3 linked regions of the Arabidopsis thaliana genome follow. The protein of the gene in region 2 interacts with the protein of the main gene of each other region in a biochemical or structural test. Each region holds a gene or a part of one and is shown on either strand. Other genes may lie near its edges. The genes, in order: SEP3, BEL1 and AG.

The links.
Region 1: the proteins of BEL1 (region 2) and SEP3 form a complex in vitro, tested with the Arabidopsis thaliana proteins (one study listed by BioGRID).
Region 3: the proteins of BEL1 (region 2) and AG form a complex in vitro, tested with the Arabidopsis thaliana proteins (one study listed by BioGRID).

What each region holds. Positions count from the first base shown.
Region 1 is NC_003070.9:8,591,609-8,599,635, reverse strand, and holds SEP3 (K-box region and MADS-box transcription factor family protein), read left to right. Parts: upstream 1-3,537; 5' UTR 3,538-3,773; coding exon 3,774-3,958; intron 3,959-4,744; coding exon 4,745-4,829; intron 4,830-4,938; coding exon 4,939-5,006; intron 5,007-5,090; coding exon 5,091-5,190; intron 5,191-5,268; coding exon 5,269-5,310; intron 5,311-5,393; coding exon 5,394-5,435; intron 5,436-5,520; coding exon 5,521-5,663; intron 5,664-5,755; coding exon 5,756-5,846; 3' UTR 5,847-6,060; downstream 6,061-8,027. Other genes in the region: AT1G24256 (uncharacterized protein), read right to left, coding at 6,647-6,715, 6,897-7,088, 7,170-7,241, 7,460-7,558. UniProt on the Arabidopsis thaliana protein: Probable transcription factor active in inflorescence development and floral organogenesis.
Region 2 is NC_003076.8:16,576,450-16,584,476, reverse strand, and holds BEL1 (POX (plant homeobox) family protein), read right to left. Parts: upstream 4,542-8,027; 5' UTR 4,054-4,541; coding exon 3,196-4,053; intron 2,594-3,195; coding exon 2,202-2,593; intron 1,377-2,201; coding exon 1,316-1,376; intron 1,232-1,315; coding exon 707-1,231; 3' UTR 400-706; downstream 1-399. UniProt on the Arabidopsis thaliana protein: Plays a major role in ovule patterning and in determination of integument identity via its interaction with MADS-box factors. Formation of complex with AG-SEP dimers negatively regulates the carpel identity process and favors the maintenance of ovule identity.
Region 3 is NC_003075.7:10,378,297-10,386,323, reverse strand, and holds the start of AG (K-box region and MADS-box transcription factor family protein), read right to left. Parts: upstream 3,469-8,027; 5' UTR 2,644-3,468; intron 2,413-2,643; 5' UTR 2,408-2,412; coding exon of another isoform or gene 2,284-2,407; coding exon 2,178-2,283; intron 1-2,177. UniProt on the Arabidopsis thaliana protein: Probable transcription factor involved in the control of organ identity during the early development of flowers. Is required for normal development of stamens and carpels in the wild-type flower.

The sequences.
Region 1 (8,027 bases), on a different chromosome or scaffold from region 2:
ATATGTAAAAATCTAAGCAAAATTTCTTGTCAAGAGGATGATTGTACATTTGTACTTGGTTATCTCGCCCCGGCCCAAAACATACCTAAGGCCAGGTGCTATATCCTCAACCTGCTTTGGCATTCATCAATCTACGAACTTTGGCGTGAAACGGTGACAAGATTAACAAGATTCACTCTCAACTACGATGTTCTACTATCTCAAATCTTTAAAAAAGTGGATCAAACTGTCAAAAGTCTAGTTCGATGGACTAGCTTCAACACTCCTCCAAATCTAGTTCGATGGACTATATATTCTCTTCTGATGCTATCCTTATCTTGGATTAGGCATCTAAACTATGGTTTTAATGGTGTCATGAGGTTTTACAACTTACAAGGATGAAAGTTATTTACTCCCAGTCACTATCTTAATCAAATGACAAAATGTTAACTAGTTTGAGTGCTTATATATTAGTTATGAATCTGAAATTTATTAGTGTGTACATAAGTGATACAACACTTAAATAACATCTACATGAGTTTTTAAATAACATAATAATCCATTATAGTAGTTTACGGCATAAGGTATGAACCAAATTTTTCATTGCACGCTGAAAAGTGAAAACCTTTAAAATGCATAATGACTAAGAGTCTATGACAACAGTAACTTACTATATATTAGAGGAGGGGTGAAAAAAAAAGTAGAGAGACTGGTCCAAAAACTTAACCCCACTCAATAAACCCAGACGTGACTTGTTTGACGATAACTCCATCTTTCTATTTTGGGTAACGAGGTCCCCTTCCCATTACGTCTTGACGTGGACCCTGTCCGTCTATTTTTAGCAGATTAATCCAACGGTTCTTATTCTTTCTTCGACCCTTCACGACATTGCCTCAAAGCCGTCCGATTCTCATCTCACGCCCAATGGACCACATATATCACCAGTACTCCGCAACTTAGCTGTCGTGTAGGATTTCACGTGGCATTTATTTGTTCTAGTTTGTAGTGCAAACATTGCAAGTTGATATGGTCCCCTATCGATCACCGTCGTCTCTTTAGCTTCACATCGAGATTCTTCTTTCTTTCCTACGTGTAATAGCATTTTTGATTTTGAGAATTTCTTTAGAACCGTTGGATCTCTCATCGTTGGTTGATCCATCCATCCAAATGGGACCTGTGTGTGCTCCATCCAGGGCATATGATCCCAAAGCCAAAAGAGTATTTCCAAGTGCTTTCTTTCTTTCTTTCTTTCTTTCTTACTAACCTTTTTTTTTCTTATGCTTTAGACTAAGAAATTTATTCGGCCATATCCACTTTTACGAATATACTTCTTACAAGATCTAGATTTTTTTGAGTTAATTCGGTGTATATAACATTGGCATAGACTGCAATTAAGTAAATGATAATGTGATAATGATGCGATGTGTTGTTATCAAGTAGTATAATATAGATGGCTAAATAGGTAAACAAAATTACGTGTTATATGTACACAATTAGGTAGAACCGTAGAAATTAAACTGAATAAAACCTTTATTAATTTTAAAATTATATGGTACAGATAAATACGGAAAAACATTCACGCTTTACGTAACAATTAAGTGGAAAGTAAAATTATCCCAAAAATATTTATATCACATCATTGTTATATTTCTAAGTTTTTTTTATTTCTCTAATGGTATATGTTTTACAGATTGTTTTTTGGGAAAATTCTTAAAGAGACTTGAAGAATGTTTTTTTTTTATTTTCTTGAAATGTTTGACACTTGAAACCGTTTAAAAACTAAATATAGTATATATCATTGTTGGTCTCATACCTTGTAATTCACCACATATATTATCAATGGGGAAGATTTGAAAATTTTTGGGGGATCACAAAACGAAGGAAAGAGTACAAAAAGAGAAGGAAAAGATAGAAGATATATGTTTTTAACTTCATTGGTATGACATCAATAAATAAATAGTTGAATGTACTTTAGTTTCTCTTTTGGTTTAATGCACATCATCTCGATCAATTGTCATCATCTTACATTGAATTATACGACCAGATCTGATAACAAGTGAATTCGTACTTGCCCTTCCCTTTCTTCTCATACGTCCTTCTAACTAATTTTGATTGTAACTTATAATTATATAACCATATTTAATTTTATTTTATCTAAAACCAATTGAAGCAAATTAAAATATCATAAATCTTGAGTCCCACATGAAGACAATATATAAAACTCGTGCAAATTTGCTTAAAATGCTTCTATGAGACCATGACCAAGTGAGATTAATAAGCGATTCAATGTGCAAATCAAAAGAGAAAAGAAGCTAATGGGTTTAAATATAACCAAACAGAATAATAATGCTATGTTTAGTTTTTCTAATTGAATCATACCTTTGTGTCCATCACCTACTTACCGGTCAGAATAAAGCAATTACGTCTGCAACCAAAAAGCACTAAGACTTTCGGTCAGACATGATCTCTAACATCGGACGAACCCTAAGATAACCAAAATAAACTATATCTTATATTCAAATCTCTGTTTATTTTATCCATTTATGTTTTCTTTCTTTCCCATAATTTTTTTTGTGTCTCATCAGACTCTCTTACCAAACTGAATTTATCAACATGGTTTTTTTTTTGGCCACATCAAAATGGTGGTTTATAAAGTAGACTAATACAAAAGACATTTCTGTTAATTTCACTAACAAAAATAATCTTAGCAGTACTATAGATTGGAAAAGGAAAAGCAAATCTAGCAGTAAGATTTATCAAAACTAGCAGTAAGAGTTTTAGATATCATGAAAACATCACAAACGAGTAGTGTTTTACTTTACATTTTTAACCAATCACAAGGGTAGTTCCGTAAGTTGGGAAAATCGTACGAGGCTTCACCTAGTTAAGGTTAGGTCACATGATTCCCTGAACTCGATTTTATAAGTAAAAAAGAAAAATTTATAAAATCAAAATTTTTTATATAAAAAAATCAGGTGGATTTATCAGACCCTACCATCGAGATGTCGACACGTGTCCAAACTCATTCATTGCCCTACTATTTTCTGTTTAGGGTTGCAATCACTCATCGCACACGCGCCATCTCCACCTTCCATTATTAATCTCTCATTTTCAACATCACACTCTTACGAATCATACGATTTTAATATCTCTGTCTCTCTCAACGTATTAAATAAAAATGGTTTTAAATGTTAGGGTTTTTTGTAGGATTTTCAATTATTAATCTCTATAATTCGATGAACTAAGTAAAAAAGCATCAAACTTTCTTGGCAGAATCACATTTTTCTCTAAACTAAATATGGACTGAAATTGAAAAATTAAACCACTAGCTAGAATAAAGTGTTGGTGAGAGTGGAACTCTAATTTCTCTCCTTTACTAATTATGTATAAACACAAAAATGCACCAAATTTTTAGGTTTGAAAATATCTAAGCATGGATAGGGTAATTAACATTTTTTCTTTCAATTTTGCAATATTTGAATAAATCCTATGAGGGTCTTTGGTACACAATAATTGGAGGGTATATAGTTGAGTCTGAGAGTATATTAGAAAGAGAATATTTCAAGTAATGAAGCTGACATGTTTATATGTACTTTGAGAGAAGTGTTGTGAGATTTGTACAAATGTATATGTACACTTTAAAAAGCAATATAAGATAGATAAAAAAAATATAAAGAAAAAAAGAAAGAAAGAAAGAAAGAAAGAGAGAGGCTCATATATATATAGAATTGCTTGCAAGGAAAGAGAGAGAGAGAGATTGAGATATCTTTTGGGAGAGGAGAAAGAAAAAGAAAATGGGAAGAGGGAGAGTAGAATTGAAGAGGATAGAGAACAAGATCAATAGGCAAGTGACGTTTGCAAAGAGAAGGAATGGTCTTTTGAAGAAAGCATACGAGCTTTCAGTTCTATGTGATGCAGAAGTTGCTCTCATCATCTTCTCAAATAGAGGAAAGCTGTACGAGTTTTGCAGTAGTTCGAGGTATATATCTACTTTTGTATATATATTACTTATAACATAAACATTTTATATACATATTAAGTAACACAAAAATGTCTTGTATGTATGGGTCTCTCTGTGATGTGTTGTTGTGTCGTACGTACGTGTTCTATCATATCCTTTTAAAAGAAGCAAAGAGGAAAAAAAATTTGGGATACCCCAAATCTGTATCATTTTATAACAAGTTTGCTTTTTTGATGTTCTTTTGTGTTTCTCTTTGATTTCCATTTTTGTTTTTGATTTTTTTTCTATTTCTCTTTACATCTATCAAAGTTTTTTTTCTTATATTTTATTGCTTATTTGTTTGTCTACTTAATTCACATTATCTGAGAGAAGAACAATCTATCTGATATGAAATTAGGGTTAATTTCTCTTGTGAGTACTCTTTAATTCACATAAGCTTAAAGTTTCCACCTTTTGATTCTGGGGGTCGTCCAATTCGATCAAATCACTCAATTTTGTTGTCAGATTGATATAAGTTCATAGGGGGATATTGTTTCCACGACAATCCATTTTAGTAACCCTTAGGGGTTTCCAATTTTGGGTTTTGAATTGACGCTAATGTCAAATTCATCTAAAGTCCGTTGGATATGTATACTTGGGGATGGGATTCATCCTTTTTTCTGGGTTCTTTAGATCTTCTCTTAAAAGACTAACAGATTTTGTTGTAAACCCTAGGAAACAGTTAAAAATCCCATTTTTAAAAACATGTTTTGAACTTGATGAGTAAGATTAATGGAAGAAATGATGTTTTTGTGTGGTGTGAAGCATGCTTCGGACACTGGAGAGGTACCAAAAGTGTAACTATGGAGCACCAGAACCCAATGTGCCTTCAAGAGAGGCCTTAGCAGTTGTACCCAATTCTCTTCTCTTTCTTCTAATTACCTTAATTAATTACTCTCAATTTTTACTTTGATTTTTAGAGTCAAATGATTAATGTTATAATTTGTCATATACTTCAGGAACTTAGTAGCCAGCAGGAGTATCTCAAGCTTAAGGAGCGTTATGACGCCTTACAGAGAACCCAAAGGTAAACTAATTAGCTTCTTCAGCTACCTTCAGAGAGTGTTTGTTTTTTTAGTAGATTTTTTTGATGGTTTTGATGTTGAAATAGGAATCTGTTGGGAGAAGATCTTGGACCTCTAAGTACAAAGGAGCTTGAGTCACTTGAGAGACAGCTTGATTCTTCCTTGAAGCAGATCAGAGCTCTCAGGGTACTACTTTGTTCATCAATATCTTTATACACTGATCTATTTCCATAGTAAGATTAAATTTGGTGTTTAATTCTGCAGACACAGTTTATGCTTGACCAGCTCAACGATCTTCAGAGTAAGGTAAATAAAGAAACACTCATTCTCCTCTCTAAATTCCTCATCTAAAAGTAATGTAACCAAGAAAACACAAATATTTGGAGCAGGAACGCATGCTGACTGAGACAAATAAAACTCTAAGACTAAGGGTAATTAATATACATTCTCATATCACCAAATTAATGCATCACTAAATTTGGTTATAATGTGTGTGTGTATATACATATGTGACAGTTAGCTGATGGGTATCAGATGCCACTCCAGCTGAACCCTAACCAAGAAGAGGTTGATCACTACGGTCGTCATCATCATCAACAACAACAACACTCCCAAGCTTTCTTCCAGCCTTTGGAATGTGAACCCATTCTTCAGATCGGGTAACTTTAGACTAGTATAACCAATTTGATTTGAGTTCTATTATAAGCTTTTCTTAAGAAAGTATCTCAAACTACTAAATTTTATGGAGCAGGTATCAGGGGCAACAAGATGGAATGGGAGCAGGACCAAGTGTGAATAATTACATGTTGGGTTGGTTACCTTATGACACCAACTCTATTTGAATCTTTCTCACTTAATCAATCCCTCTCTTTTTTTTTTGACATTTTTAAGATGATGTTTCTATTTTATTACCTCTCTCATGTTTTCTGTCTTGTGTGCATGTGTGTGTGTAATGTTTATGCCCTTCTATTATTCAATAATTTTTTCGACAATTTTGCTTCCTATTTTTACCCATTACTCCTAAACTTCCTGATCCAGTTTCTTTTAAAATAACTCCCATTTTATGCATGTTATCTAACCAATTCTCTTAACTATGATTTATGGTACGATATAACTCACAGTCTCACACTATCTATTTGGTGTTTTTTTGTTTGAGTCTTGAGAAGGGACCGCTTGTTTATCTCTCTTGTTAAAGAGCAACTCACTGGCCACTGCTTATGTATCTGTAGGCCCCACCTATATCATTTTGGCTATATCTATACTTTTGTAGAGGGAGTATTACTATAGAGAAGAAGATAAATTTGGTTCTAATATATCTTGCAGGTAGTTGATATTCTCAATTATCATGAAGATTTGATAGACAAGTTTATCAGATACCTTAAACATAGGTTTAAGATCTCAATTGAAATGTGAATTCACCCGACGATTAGAGTTACGATCTAAGGAAGCGTTTCTTGAATTTTGAGTTTGTTTGATCAAGAGTAGAATGCTTTTCTATTACTAAGGTTGTTAATGCTTATATTCCATGACCAAGGCCAAGAGAACAAACAAAAACATGGTGCCTCTTGATGTATAGTAATGGCTCTTAATGGTCATATACAGAGAAAAAAAGATTAATGTCGTTGCACAAGCTTGAAGTTACTTACTCCTCGTCTTCCTCATTAGTGTCTTCGTCTTCCTCATCCTCATCGCTCCCAATATAGGGCTTCATCTACTTGAAAACCAAATGCTCATGCAGTGGAAAAAGATAACAGAGGTTCAAATTAAGGCAAACAAAACTACAAGTGAGAAAGGGAAACTACAAGTGGTAAGATGTAATGTTTTGACTCAAAACCAGATCAGACAATGAAAAAAAGTATTGATACAAAAAGTCCATCCGGAAGCATAATTACCGCTTGCAGGATGTCATCAGAGATGTCTGTTAGTCGGCCAATGGCATAGATGGTGAGCGGACCAGAGTAGCGTAAATCCTCTAAATACTGTCTAAAAGCCGGACCGACCCGACAAGGATCACAGTCAAGGGGAATAGGACACCTATTGATATCCCAAAAGACTGTTGTTACAGCCACATCATCCTTGTCCAACTGGGTAGCCCAAAGGGAAACTAGTTGTGGTAAGAGCTTGTTTGACTCAAAAAATGGCTAACTAGGATGATGCTGAATTACCATCTGTTCATGTTTTTGACTAGAGAGATGGGTAGTGAAATTTTCAAAGCCTTTGCAAAACGCCTGTGGGACCTGTTTCAGAAAAAGACTTAAAAGACTTGAGACTCAAGGAAAATAATATCCATTATATAAAGATGACAACAAATATTAACGGAAGTAGGAGTGATTGAGAACGATTCTAGTAGAAGAGACGGCTCGCAGGACGTCGTTTATAATAGGCCAATGGCAGAGATAGTGAGAGGACCGGAGTAGCCTAAATTCTTTAAATGTCGTTTGATACACGGACCAACTAGACGAGCATCATACTCAGAGGGAACCGGACACGTCTTGATATCCCAGAAGACCGATGTTACGGCCTTAGCTTGCTGCCGCGTTGCCTTCATCATCATCTTCTCCTTTTAATCTATAACGGAAATCAAACATCAGATAAAGCATTCGAAAAGATAGATTGACACAGGTTAAATCATCCACTTCAGAGAAAAAGAGAGGGACATGGCCGTAAACAATGAGATAAGGATCGGCCTAATGTTTATAATGGGCTTGCGTTTAATGGGCCTACAGTTTCTTGAATCAGCCTTATGCATGAGTCCTAGTATTTTATCAACTTTTTTTTTTCATCTTTCTTTAGTTACAATAGATTTAAAGTGTTTTTTGTTAATGCCATTGCAAAATTTGGTAACTGTTTATAACATTGTTCCTCACTTCAAAATTTAAAGCACCATTAATAAAAGCTATACATATAATTATAACTTGGGTTTTGTGCAAAAAAAACAAACAAATTAACCTTTCATTTTAAATAAATGCAATTCAATACCGCAATATCAAAAGTAACCCGTATAACCTTTATTCGTGTATAGA
Region 2 (8,027 bases):
ATTAGGTTTTGTCATTAATAACACAAAGACCATACACTCTCTCTAATTATGTCTTTATATAAATATGATGGTCTAGTGATTTTCGTTACTGAAGTCGTATCTATTCGATTCCAAATCCGTATAATGCATGCCAACTACACAAATTTCACTCGTCCATGTTTGTGTGATATCTATTTATGTGTATATTATACACAGTTACACACATTCAATTTTATAATTTGTATCAAGTATATACGTAAACGATTGTCATGTACAGACACTCAACATACTTTAAAAAAAACTATATATCCATTTACTTTTCGAAATTTTGAAACCAAATTTATAAGAAAAACAAAATTTTAAGGGATTGAATGTTTCCAAATAGTTTGAGATGGTCCTAGAATATGAAAACAGATTTGAAAAGACACTTGATAATATTTCCTTAAACAAAAATATATATGATTTACATTAAGAAAAAAGTATTAGATTGAGAAAAAAACCTCTCAATAATATATTTTAAAAAACAAAATGAAAATATCCTACAAGTGATATTGACGAACCAACTAACTCATACATTAATAATATCTCCTTGTCCACCAATCCTCCAATCCAATCAGACAACGGTATATATAAATATCTAATTTGGTTTTTATCTAACTAAACCGTTACATAACCGAATCGGTTTTGGAAAATATGTATCGATAACTTTGGTCCTAATCTTTTAATCTCAAACAATATCATGAAGTAATTGAGCTCCCATCAAATTCCTATAAGGCAAATTCTGAACTTGATCATCATCTAACATCGACGCTGAATATTGAACCGGTCCTTCTTCAATGTGGTCTCTACCGTAGAAAAGTTGGCCACCTTGAGCCGTCACTGGAGACAACGCTAAACTCACACCACCGTTACCATCGTTACGTTGTAACCCAAGCGTCAAGGAAACGTCACCACGTGGCCCTCCTTCACCAGCGTATGTCACAGCTTGGTTACCGTACAAGGAAAAGTCAAACGTTGACCCTAACGACATCGTTCCATGGGTTGAGTTGTGACCGGATTTGGATGTAGGGTTTGTCACTATTGAGGATAAAGATTCCGGTTCGACACGGATCAACTGGTCCGGGTCCGGTTTAGTATCGATCATCATCGGGTTTGTAATCTCCATTTGTTCACTTCTTGTTTCTTCACAGTACATTTCTTCAATCATTGGTTTCCATAGCCTAACTCTTGCATTAATAAACCAATTTGATACCTAACAATTTTGGTTTATTATAACTTTAGTAAATAGGATAATAAATTTTGGAATATATCAAGAATTAGTGGAGTTATTCTTTACCTGACTTCTTGATAAACCAGTTTGTCGGGCCAATATATGCTTATCAACATCGCTCGGATATCTGAAAACAAAAATAAGAAAATTTTACTTTAATGGAAAAATATAAGACAAATGGATATGTAATTAAAAAAAAGGATATAAATGATTGAAGAATGATGCAAATAAAATGGAAGCAAAGGTAAAGGGTTTGGTGAAAACTAACAAGATGTTTCATTGTTTGAGCAGTGTTTGGGAATTGATGGAGACAAGTGTTACATATGATGATAAACATATAACTTCTGTAAATTAAATAAATAAAAAGTAGAAGAAAAAGAACAAAATAAAAACATGGAGAAAAAAGCAAGGAGTTATGTATAGTTTCTCTCTTTTGTTAGTGTTAGGTAAAGAACATTGATTCTCTCTCTCAATCCACTTTGTACCTTTCTCTATTTCTGTCTTTCATCCACCAGTTAAATTTATTTTATTTAATTTTATATGTTCGTATACATATATATACATGTGTATATGTATATGTTTGTACACTCACTTTCACACCAATAGTGCAAATGAAAGAAAAAGGAAAATAAAAAAGCTATATGCAATTAACAGATTAAGGTAGATTGTATCCTATGCTTGTCAAGTCAATCTCAATCTCTCTATATAAAATGTACATATTTTTTTACTTTTATATGTTCAAAAATATTCATGTAACAAACAAAAAAAACCTATCATACTATTTATCAACGTACTATCAATGAAATAAAATCGTTAAAGAGGTTTTATATAGCTCCATAAATATACCCAATTAACTTGTGATTCTACCTTCATTGATCACTTCAGAAAGACACAATTAGTAACTTTTAGGTATGTGTAAATATATTAAGAGGATGTATATGAAATAACTTACGGGTGAAGAAAGTGTTCAAAGAGCCAAGCTCTCAACGTTGTGACTGCGCGTTCAGGCAAGCCGCGTTGTGGACGCCAAGGATGAGCGTCAACAAGAGTCATTTGGCGATACGATTTCTGTTGCCGCAAAGCTTGATCGAGCAATCTCAACCGTGGAGTTTCTCCACGTGCTGCAATAGAAACCGCACGATTATCCTCTTCTCTCTCTCCCAAAGCTTGACTTGTTGCTTGAATCTGTCCCACAAGTCCGTCTTTTAAACACCGAAAGTGTCTTGACATTGCCCTTGACGCTAACGCAGTGTATATCTCTGCCCCTCCTAGTCCAACCGCCGCTTCAAAGGCTGCCGCCGCAACTCTCATTTGCTCTCGGTAATGTCCATATCTTCTTTTAAGCTGCCAAAAAACCGCAAAAAAACGTTACCCCACACCATTCACAAAGATTTCAATCACAATCGTGTAAATGTAGATTCTTAGAATGAGTAAATACACGAAAAAGAAACAACTCGTTATGGCTTATGATGATGAAACTGATTGCTATAAATATGGAGGACCACTAGAGTCTCCAAATTAGCTCAAAGCAAAGAAAACAAAATTATATTTTGGTTCTATAGAAAAAAAGAAATAATGAGTAAAGGAATTAAAAGGGTTGATCTTTTCGTAGTTGATACGATCGAACTTGTTTTCGACGAGAATACATGAAAGAATGAAGACAAAAAAGAATCTTTTTATCTTAATATCTAAAAGAAATTTGTAACTTTAAGAAATATATGGACCTAATCAAGAATCGAAAAAATACAAGATTTATGGGTATCTTACATATTTAGGAATAAGTTGAAACCAAATGAAAGGAAAAAAAAAAAGATTTGTAAAAGACTTGTGGGTATTTTACATTTTTAGGAATAAGTTGAAACCAAATAAAAAAGGATTAGATTTTCTAAGAAACTCATGTAAGTTTTGATAGTAGTAATGAAATAATTTCTTGAAAATATATATACCTCTTCGAGCATGGAGAGCAACTTGGCTTTTCTTTTCTGAAGTTCCATGAACTCAAGAGAGTGAAGTGGTGGAACATGTTTCTTTGAAGAAGTAGTCGCAGATTGGTCATGTTGATCATTGTTGCTGTGGTGACTTGTGTCCCACTCTTCTTGTTGTTTACCCTTTTGCTTCTTCTTATGCTTCATCATCATCACTTCTTCATCGCTTTCCTTTACTCCAAGACTGCAAAACTCACTCAGTAGCTCTTGAGCTGGACTCAAATACTTGGAACTCCCAATCTGAAACTGATGATGATTATGATGCTGATGATTGTTATTGTTGTTGTTTTGGTGGTGACTATTCATCATCATCATCATCATCTGCGTGTGTTGGAGATTCTGATGTTGTGTTGATTTATTACCGGAATACCCTTGTTGTTGTTGTTGTTGGGGTCTGAGTTCGAAAGATTGGAGACTGATGCTTGTAGGATTTGAAGAGGAGAGAGAAAGGGAAAGACCTTGGCTTGGTCTTTGTGGTGGTCTCTCATCATTTACTTCACTTGGGAAATCATTATTAACATTGCATAGTCTCATGGCAGATGAAGAATCTTCCAGAAGCTGATTCTGATCAGTACCACCACTTGTCTGATGATGATGATGATGATGATCCGAACCACTTGTCATCCTAATCTGTTGTTGCTTAGAGAAGTCTATCATCATACCCATGTTGGAGTTTGAGCCAAAGATCTGATGATTGTAATGATGATGATCGGTTGGGTTTTGGTTTGTCTCATCAAACCCTTGGATCTGATTAATCATTTGATGTTGTTGCTCTTGATGATGATGGTTATTGTGACCATAGAACTGATCTCTTGCCATGTCTCTCAAGAATTGAAAACCCAAAAAGAAGAGAAGAAAAAAGAAAACTCTTTTTGGGACAAAAACAGAAGTTTCATTAAGATCTACAAGAACCCATCTCCAAGAAAAAGTTAAAAAGAACCAATAAACAAAATAGAAAGGCAAATCTTCTCATACCATGAAAATTACAAAACTTTGTATCAGAACCAAGACAATAGAGATAGCTCCTAAAACCCTACAAGAAAGTAGTTTGCATAAAGATGTGAATTATTTTTCTTCTTATTCTTTAGGTGAAGAGGGAGAGAGAAGAGATTATAGGAGAAGATAGACGAAGAAGAATAAAAGAATTAAACAGAAGAGATATAACAGAGAGAGAGAGAAGAAAAGAGATTGTGTGGCTTCACCTCTCTCTTTGTTTTGTACTTTGACAAAATTTAATTTTTCTTTTAGTATGGGTCTGTAAATTGTACTACAGGCAAAAATAAAGAATTATAAAATGGTAAAATAAAATTAAACCTAGGAAGAGAAAAAATCAGATTGGTATCTCTTCAGAGATCAGAAGACAGGTGATCATGACCCTGCCATAGACTCTATAGCTAGCCATCAATGTTTTAATCTCTCTCTCTATATATATCTATATATATATATATATCACAAGTGGGTCAAAATGCTTTACAATTTTCAAAAGAAATATTAATATTCTTTTTATTTTATTTTTTCCCGCATATAAAATGCCTCACAATTATACATTTAATTTGTGTATTTTGGTATACGTAAGTCATAATGAAATAATGGTTTATATTTTTCTTCTTCTTTGACGTTGAATTATAAATTATTGGTCTGACCAAGAAAATACTACAGGTGTCTACCTCTATTCTTTATTTTCTTCGTTCAATTATTAAGAACCTGCTAATTCGAAAATTTAGTTTACAAAAAAAATCAAAAAGGATGGTACGTACGTACATTGGTCCAAACAGTTTAGAAAAAAAATTGATTGGATAGATAACAAATAATTAAACTGAACTAAAGAAAACAAAAATTAGAGATCCTTTGCCCGGTACACAAACTAATTATACAAGCCATCTTCATATGACATATCTCTACGTTGATTTAATTATTTATTAAACATAATTTAGTATTTAAATGTTCATATATATATATATATATGTATATATGTATTTAGTATTTTGATTTTTATTGCTGAATCCATACGTGTAATCTACGTGTATATGTATTTAGTATGTATGTAGATATGTATACAATATGTTATCTAAGAAAATGATATCAATTTTGGTGTTAGTGTCGTTTGCTAAGCTTATGTAGGCAAATTTTGTTATTAAATGAATATTTTTGGAACTACTTTTTTTTTTGGTGAAAATATTTTTTGGAACTACTTTTTAAACATTTTTATGAAGCATAGCGTATCTCAAGCAATATTTGAACATTGACGATGATTTTTAATTGAAAATAATAATATTCTAAATTTAGCCAACCAGTCACGTGAATGTACAAATTTAACTAGTATTTTGTACAAAAGGTGTCCCTTTCTATACATAAATAATCGTTATATATAATACATGTATGCCTCTGCGGCTCTGCCTATTTTGCTCCTAAAATATATTTTCTTTGTTAAAGAATTATTATCAGGTCTAATTTATAACAGAATTATTTGATGATAAATGAATTTTCAAACAAAGAAGAGAAGTTAAGTTAACTTAAAAAATGAATAACTGTGAAAAAGTTTTGCTCCTAAAATAGTTTTTTTTTTTTTTGGAGAATTAACATACCAATATATATATATATATGTTGGTGTATAGATGGAGAGGTAAGTAAATGAAAGAGAACGAATCCCAAGAAATCAAACCAGAAGTAGGAGTTGAGTTCAGGCTTTTCTCAGATATGTCTCAGTGTCACTTCTCTACTGTTTAACAATTACTATTAAATTACTATCAACCATATCATAACTATATAAACATTTTAATTAATAGTAATTATATATAGTAGAATAGAGATCGTAGTCCCGTGTAATACAACACAAATGGACTGATGTCATTATTCGACTTGCACTTCGCACAGTACGTGAAAGAGATTGTGTTTTGAGTTTTAAAATACGTTGTTGGTCGGTCACTAAACTAATCGAGAAAGTACCAAAACAAAAGTCTCCTTGTTAGTAACTGCAAGGGCGAAGAAGTTAATTATATCAAGATTTAATGGTTTTCTATTAAATTCCATTTAATATGTACGCAAAAGAAGGAAAACAAAAAATCAAAGTTTTCTTAAACATTGCTGACATACAAAATCAAATATTCAAATTTTAAATAAATGTTTCTTAAATGTTGACATAGAAAACTAATATAGTCGTTCTTCTGCTTGGCACATGTATTATTAATTGTTGTAAAAATAGTGTTTATTACAAAATTTGCAAATTTCTTTCTTTAGAATTTAGATATATACGACATCTTAACATTCAAACCATAAGTCAAACACCACATTATGAAAAACGTATAATTAATTGGCGTTACAAAAACATATCAAGAAATTAATTAATTTTAAAGAAATTAAAAATTATTTAATTAAATAGTTTTTAAGTAGGATAATCTTTGATTAGTTAACATCAAAGCCAAGTTGTAAAAGAGGACATAAAAAGATACATAGAAGAGACAAAAACAACACTGTGTTTGTAGTTATTTAACCGCTAATATTTATTAGAGTCACCCAAAAAGCTTTCTTCTTTTCATTGGATGGATAAACCAGTGAGTTTTCTTATAAATGACAAATTCGAATATAACTTATAACCAACAATATCACAAAAAATTGATATTACTTGTGTTATAGAATATTCACATTCAGTTGCTTAAATATAGTATACTATTGCTATATACGTCAAGTTCATATATTTACCAACAATTCAAAAAAAAAATCATCTATACATTCATTTTTTTGTTTCCAAATTAAATACATGTGTTAATTACAAACTGTTAACTGAAACTATCAAGGAAGTACAGGATAAGAATATCCAAAACTTTGAGATTATACGTTAATAACAAACTATTAGTTTTCAGAATTGGAGTATTTATAATTGTTGTCAAGAATTGTTCCCAAACTAAGGGACTGTGCATGAGAGGTGATTAAGTGGTCCTCCATTTTTTTTGCTTCTTTTTTCTTTCTAATGTCTTTCTTTCTTTATATTCATTCCACCCAAAAAAATGCATTTATTTTCGTCTCTCTTTGGGACCATTTTATTTTCTTCTCCAATTCTTACATATTCACATTTATATGAACTTTATATATCCTCTTCCACGCGCCAATGTCTAAGAAAAACAACTCAATTGAATAAAGCATCTATATTCTAATACTGACCTTCTCAGATAATTAATAGGACAATTTTAAGTAATACTAATATGTTATAAATTCATTACAAAACCAAAAGAAAATAACTATTCAGATTTATGACAAAAAAAATAACAATGATTTCTCAAAACTTATTGACATATATTTCACTATAAAAATTTGGTAATTTTAGTTCAAAATGAAGCATCCACAATTTGGTACTCCATTAATTGATAAAATCAGCCATGCGCAATATGTATAAACACCAGAACTAAACCCAATTAATTGGTTTAGTCACGTAACAAACACGCGACATGTTGTGAGTGGGTGAAAACATCTTGGCGATTACATACATTTAAAAGGGGAAGTGGTCCAACCGAAACGGAAGCTCTTTCCGCCGTTTCATACCAAATTCCACAAAGAATCCTTTTTTCAATCTTTTGATATCCCGAAAATACCCTCCACTGATGATTGACGTCATCACTTCAGACCTTTTTTATTTTATTTTTGTCGACAACCTTTTTTATTTAAGAGAATGATCGCAGCAGGTGCGCAGGTTAGCAGACCTAATATTTTTCTACGTCGCGATAAAATTCTAAGTAAATAAGTGGTATAGTTTTTCATATGTGATTTAAAAAATAAAGTATCTTTTGTGTTATCAGATT
Region 3 (8,027 bases), on a different chromosome or scaffold from region 2:
CTAAAAATCTCACTTTCCTCTCAGTACCCATAATGAGAGAGAAAATGATAAAAATCCCTAACATTATTCTCTCTCTAGAAAAAAAAAAGATACTTCAAAAAGAAAGAGAAATTGCATAAATCTATCTACACCAAAGATGTTGAAGCAATTCCAATGCTATACTTCTATGCCAAATCTATTTATTCAGTGATCATTAATCTTTTTACTTCCAAGAAATATGAACAATTTAGTATCCTTATAATTTTTGTCTCTATATATGTAATATGAACATTGGGTATTGACCAAATGAGAAATCTAATATTAAATGGTCAAAAGTAGTAATATGATGACATTTTTGAATTTATAAATAGGTTACAAATTAATTCATTATGACATAAAACCTTCTTGTCAGAAGTCAAGAACTGAAACTAACAAAACTTTATAATAAATTAGTAAAAATACAAGTGAAAAATAAAAAGAAATAATATCTGAGTGATGACGTGATCAAAGATTCTTTAACAAAGACAACAAATCTTACAGACCCAAAACCTAATCTTGCGCTCAATTCCAACCTCTGAAAAAACCTCAAAAATCTTATAAAAGAAAATAAATAAAGAAACGAAACTCTGATTTCGTAGAGTACCCATCGGATATATAAAAAGAAATTAGTAGGTAAATGAAGACTAATTTTGATTGACTGATTTAATTTGAAGTCGTTGTTAGCTTTTCTTGTTTTGGACATGAGAATTATATATTTCAGGACATGAGAGTTGACAACTGTAAACGATTAAGAAAATTGATCTTTTAATTTTCAAACACCATTTAATCTTGACATGTTTTATGTTTTGGTGGAGAAGAAAGTAATCACGTGGGACTCTCTACTAATAAGTATTTGGAAATTGCGTGTCGAATTAGAGATTACTAGTTTGAGTAATGTAGTTCGAAATGAGATTAGTTATTTTTAATTTTAAAAAGAGTAATTTTAAGGAATAACAAAAAAGAGTCCCCATAAGCTAATTTGTCTTAATTACCTCCTTGTTTCATTGACTATTTGAAATCTTGAAAATTCAGTTGAAATTTCAAATCTATGTTTCTTTTGACCACTTCTAAACTAATCTTAGCTCATATATAATTTTCCAAAACTACAAAAATAACACTAACATTTAACATTCTCAAGAGAAAACAAAAACAAAAACTTAGATAACCATCTAAATTGTCCTACATGTACGTATAAGTTCCATTATTTTCTATCACTCATATAAGTTAAAATTTCATGAAAACTCAAAAATCTAGCTAGTTTCACCTTATTCACTCTCACTTACCATCACATGTGTTTGTATCAAATATATGATATGATATAATTCATGAGAGAGAAAGAGAGCTAGAGATAAGAAAGGAAAGTAAGAGAAAGAAGAGAAGAAAAAGAGAGACACAGACATTAACAACAATGGAGGATGGATGATCACAAAACAGAAGATATGACCTCATAGTCCTTCCTTACTCTCTCCCCAATTTGTTTCCCAAAACTTACTTTTATAGTCATAAAAATCAAGTTTTTACCTATTACAACACCAGATCTATAAATATATCTAAATCTTCAAGTACTTGTTAGTAAGGAAAATAGAAAGATATAAGATTTTATTATTATTATAATAACAGAAATGAGTGAAGAAAGAACACCCAACAAAGTGAATCTTAGTTCTACAAAACTGAATCTAAAACTCCACATTAGAAAAAACCCTGATGGTTTCTTATTTCTTTTCATTTATTATCTAACTCTCACTCAGATCTCCTTTAACTTTGTACCATTTCCCTCACTTCATATATCTATATATAACAAATTCTCTCTTTTTATTTAAGTCTTAAGGGAAAATTAATATACACATGAAGAACAAGAAATTAGATCTACAAAATTGTTACAAAAACCCCCGAAGTAAATAAAATAAACATATCAAACAAATATTCCCACTAATGTTAGTGTGTTTATATATATATGTGTGTGGAATATGAAGGAAAAAAGTGAAAAATAATCCTACCCATAAGAGCATTCAAGAAGAAGAGAATCAAATCTAGCTTAGAAGATCGAAAACCCTCGTAAAAGATTTATGCTTTAACATAAACATAAAACCCTAAATCGGACTTTAAAAATAATTTAATTATTAATAAAGTAAGAACAGAGCACGAGAAGAAGAAGAAACCTGTTGTTAGAGTACTCATAGAGACGACCACGGCTAGAGAAGACGATGAGTGCGACTTCAGCATCACAAAGAACAGAGAGCTCGTAAGCTTTCTTGAGCAAACCATTTCTACGTTTGCAAAAAGTGACTTGACGATTCGTTGTGTTCTCGATCCGTTTGATTTCGATCTTTCCTCTCCCAGATTTCCTCAAGGGAGAGGAATCTCCTCCTAGCTCCGATTGGTACGCCGTGATTGCTGCTCCAAAGCCAAAAACGTTTAGGGCAAAATTTGATTAGTACAGAATTACAAGAATCCAACAAAAAACCAATCAAGATTTTCTTGAAAAGACTCAAGATTCTTCATGTTTTCTATTCTTTTGAATTATGGTTGAGATTAAAGTTAAACTATAAAGATTTAATTTAATTCTGTTGCCGACACACATCTTATAGAAGGAATTATAAAGTTGAAGAACTTTATTGATCTTACATTCATATTCTCCTAACAAGAGTTAATCAAGAAAGGATGGTAATACACAAGTTATAAACTAAGAACAAAATTGTTTTGTAACCATAGGGATAATTTAAATCTAGAGTGTGAAAAAGAAAAGTTTTAAAGAGTTAAAGAAGATCAGAGAATTTGTGAATCTTGTTTCTCTCTAAATAACATAAAAAGAATCAAATCAAAACGGGAAAAAAGGAAACTAAAGAAGAACAAAAATTTGGTTTAAGGACCAAAAGAAGTGAAGCAAAGTAATATTATGAAGAAGATAATGTTTGAAAGGATTGGGGAACAACAAAATACTAGCCTGACCTGTTGGGGGGAGAAGAACAAAGGGGAAAGTTTTATTTTTCTTGGGAAAATGATTTTCTGGAAAGTATGAGATTTGGAGAAGTTGCAGAAAATGGAAGGTAAGGTTGTGCTGGTGAAGAGATGGGTATATACATTTATAAAGGAATATTTTTTTTCTTTTTAATTTTCTCTACTATTTATCACCATTTTTCCCCACTTTTTACATCCATATAGTGTCTTGTCAATTTGTGTTTGATTACTGGTTTTCTTACTCACTAAAGCATAGTTTTATGAATGGAATCTATGAGATAAGTATGTGTTTCTTCTTTATTAGATAGAGTTAATATACATGTATTTTCTGAAAAGTAATTCTATTTAAACTGGTTTTGGAACATACACATGTTAGATAATTATGTGGTGAAAGTTGATTTTGAGAATTGACAAAAGTTTTGTACTTGGTTGATAGTTATATATGAGGGAAGTATAATTAATTAAACTGGTGTTTCTTTTCAGTACATTTAGACATATGATAGGTTAAAATAAAAGATTGACATAGAGCAATCTAAAGGTTCACAAAGCATGAGTACATCAGCTTTTGAAATCACATGAAAAATATTATTAATAAATAGTGTTAATTACCATAAATAACACCCACCATACATCCGGACTTTTCATAAATATAATACTTATTAAGGACACCCCCAAATTGAGAAATTGTAGAAATGAATAAATAGTTTTTGGAAATGAAGAAAAAAAGAGAGAGTTATTGGTGGGTAGTTCTTGTGTGGTCTTTCACAAAGGTCTAAATGAAAAGAGGGTTCAAGTTGGGCAATCACTCATGAGATGCAGACTCTACTTACCATTACTTGTCTTTGCTTTTCATGTGAAAGTTTTTGAGGCACTAAAATCTTTGGGTAAATCTGATCAGTACATTTTTTTGTTACAACAAATATCGATCTTCTTCTTTGTTTCTAGTTTTTACTAAATCTTGATCTTTTTAAAGAGGAAAAAATTTCAGCTCTATTCCCTTTTCTTTTGTGAATTGTTTTAAAGATTTAAGTGACATTCTGCAGGAAAATTTGTTTCACTAATTAAGGAAGTTATTTATAAACAAATATATGGTGTTGTATATTTGATACCATTTTACATTATTTTGCCAGAATAAATATAAGAAAATGGATTCTGGATACTGAAAATATTAAAGAATAGAATTTCAAAAAATTTATGATAATATTGTAATTACATGATGAGGTGTAATTTATTCCGTATATAGTAACTGATGGTGTACAAATATAAAGTAACATATAAAAGAAAACTGTGTAATTAGATATATGGCTAAACTGATTATTAGTAGTAAGAACCAATATACTTATCTATTTAATGGTGTGGCAAATATAGAATCGAATGATGTAAAAAGAAGGAGAAAATTACTCAGATAGTGAAGAAAATTAGCATACTATTTATGTTAGTGAGATTTGAAGTTGATGATGTTTACTTGTTGTGATATTGACATATAAAAAAAATGATAAATTAATAAGATAAATAGGGTTTTAGGGTTTATAGGGGAAATAGGGAGATGAAGCGTACTTTTAAGGGGCTGGACAAGACGTAGGGCTTAATTTGGAAAGTTATTTAAGTGTAATGCTTCTGACTCAATTAGAAGGTAACCAGACTTTTCTCTCTTCTCCAACTACTTTAATCTCTCTCTCTTTTTTTACATTTTCTTTTTGACTTTTGTCGCCCTCTTCAAGATCACAGCTCTCCATATTGTTTGTGAAACTACTATATGAATATACATAGGTGACTACTTAATAAATTTTGTTGAAAAGTATCTAACTGTTAAAATAGTTCTCCTAATTGGCTAAATGGATTAAAATTTAACCCAAAATATGGATTAATAATCTTTCTTGTTTTATTTGATAAAGATCTTTGTAGCTCGTATGTGGAAGAAAAAAATTGGGTAGATATTTTCTAACATTTTGTTAAATAAGTTATTTTTAAAAAATGTTGAATAATTGAGGAGCACAATGTATAAATGGAGTAAGGTTATGCCAAAAGAAGAGGGAGAGTAGCATGTGATGTGTAGTCTTTGATCTCCATCTTTATGAACCCATTTAAGGTAATTTGATAGAGATAAGAGAAACCTATATGTATATACAGTCCATATTCATATTTATTTCCCTATAACTATATATACATCCACTTGCAATGTGCTTTCTTTTCTTTTGTACTTTTTCTTTCTTTCTTGCAATTAGAAAAAATAGTATAGCTTAACTGCATGTAATTTACCTTCTCTAGTAGTATATTTAATTAGCAAGAGTTAAAGTAAGTTTAGTAAGAATTACTGAATTGAATACTAGTAAAATTTACAAATTAGTACATAATTAGATTTCCTTTACGTCACATGTATGCTTGTATGTATGGAAATTGATTAGGTCATTTATAAAAGAAACAACTCAATTGCTTTGGGTCAAGCTTTCATGGTCGAAGTGGGTTTTAAAAACCATAAAATCTTCTCGTATCTTACATGATGGACCACAATCGAAGGTTGCTTTCTACCATATTTTGATCACTTTTGATTTGAGTTTTTATTAAAACAAAAATATGTGACTCGCTGAATTATTTACCCGATTTAAAATACTGTTTTTCAATGGTGTTTTATCTTAGGAATAACAATATCACACATCGGAAGTTAGACAAAGATCCTAATAATATAGAAGATATATGGATTGATCCACTGCAAATTGGTTTTGAGGACAGATTAATATTTTATCCAACTAGTCTAAACGTATCATCAGAAAAAATGTATCGATCAATTTGGTAAAGGCTCGATTTTGACCAAAAAACAATATGCATAATTCTTGTTTAGTGTATCTTAATGTATTTTTTTAATGTCATCTACTACAAGAAAACAATACGAACTCCAACAATTTTTCTTACGAAATTTTGGTGTAAAATCTATGAAATTTTCATCAAATGTTGTTTTGAAGGTTTTAATTTAATAGAAAAACCGTTACTCGTGTACTAAGTTCACAAAGACATAGAATGTGTACTAGATAAGTTCCCACGTAATAATGATTATAAATATTAAATTATATATGATCAATAAAAGCAATAAATATTTAAAACATTAATTTGACGTCGAATCATACATTTTGTGTTGGAGAAGGGATCACTTAAATGACACTACCTAATCAAATTTAATGCATATTCTTTTGTTCCTTAATTTTTCTTCCTCGTCATTAAAAAAAATGGATACATTATATTACCTAGAATAAAATCAGTTCACAGAAAACAAAAGAATACTCTCTCTGTTTTGAAATTATATATTCTGTAACATTCCATCCCAAAATTAGTATGACGTGATTAGTAGATCAACAGACCACAAACCATTTGAAAATTTTCAAATATTTTGAAAATTTTCCAAACTGCTAGAAATAGATTCTGCGTACTTTTATAAATTCCGTAAAAATATGGAATTGGCATTCAAACTTAGATACTATATATATAGCATTTTGTGGGAATTTAAGATTTGTTTTCGTCAGGTTCCAATATAATTTAAAGATATTTTTGTTTGGTTTTGGACCGAATTAAGACTAATTAGAAAGAAAAAAAAAAAGAGAAATCAGTGCTGCTTTTGGCTTGATTGTGATTGTGCCACTCAAATTATTGGCCAATATTAAGCCAAGTTTTGTGTTTGCATGAATGTATTATGTGTTTATTTTAGCATATTTGTGTGTTACTAGAAGATTAAACTAATTAAGTGTAATCAAAACCAATTTTAATCATTTTCCGAGCTCCGAACACTCTCTAGCACCTATGCTCTTACCTCCCTCTAAAATCCCACCAGAATTCTCTTCCTCGATCAATAAAGGTCGGCGATCTTTTTCGATTTGTTTTCTAAACATTGTTCTTCCACTTCTATTTGTCCATGTATTTATATAAATAATAATTAAGATGATTTCGTGAATTGAATTATTTAGATGAAAAAATAATAATTATTATAGTAAGTCATTAAAAATAAAATGAAATCGCATAAAAGTATCTAAAGTTAACTCTTGAGATATCTATCATAGACTCCCGCAAGTATGAAGGTCTTCTCAATGATGGCTTCGAGCAAGAAGCATCCCCTATTAAAGATATATTCTCTCTTAGTAAAAAAAAACAGAAGGAGGACATATTCTCTCCTTATTCTTTTGTTTTTTCACAATTTTTCCTTTGAATTGCTTGTCGATAATTGTTTTTTTTGTTAATCGAATAAATTTTAGATTTTGAAGAAAGGAAAATCGTTGCAAACTCGGGAAGAAAACTTTAATAAATCATATTTTCCATCACGAACTTAATCGTATAACCTATGATAATGTGCATAGCCAGGGAAAAGTGGCCCATGAGGTTATAATTGGATACAAATTAATACAGTTTCCAGATCAAGAGCCTGTTTTTGGGACCCTCTTAAAAATGTCTATATTATATGTGTGTTTTCATATTCTTGAATCTTGGTGTATGTATTCTTTTGTGATAGACATAAAATTTCATGTGGTTTTACAGGATTCACAATTTAGGGTAAGCCTTTGATAGAAAAGTATAGTAACACTCACATGAGATCCAATGACAAGAACCACAGGTGTGTGTTAGTCTAGTGATTCTTTATCTATTCGTTTAGGTCGATGCATTATTCAATTATTTTAGCAACAAAAAAAAACATTTGATATTTGAATACAAACAAAAGATGGTAAGAAAAATGAGTACCGGAGTGATTTTGAAGCAAGTTGAAGTGTCAAATGCTCCAGTTAAAGAAACATTGCAAAAACATATCCAACTTTCAGATTTTGAAAGTGCAATTATAACCAAAATGCAGAATATGCTTGCAACTACTATAACTCAAATTATTTGAGGCTACTATGGTCGGTAAAGAAAGAAGCTTTTAAAAAGAATAAAAGAAGCAAACATTAAATCTGTTTGACCTTTCGAAGTTAGGGATCATAAAAGATTGAGGAAAAATCATAAATATTCTTAAACCAATTTTTTAGATTACAACAGCAAATATATATTGCGGTTAAAATCATAGATCTTACAACAAT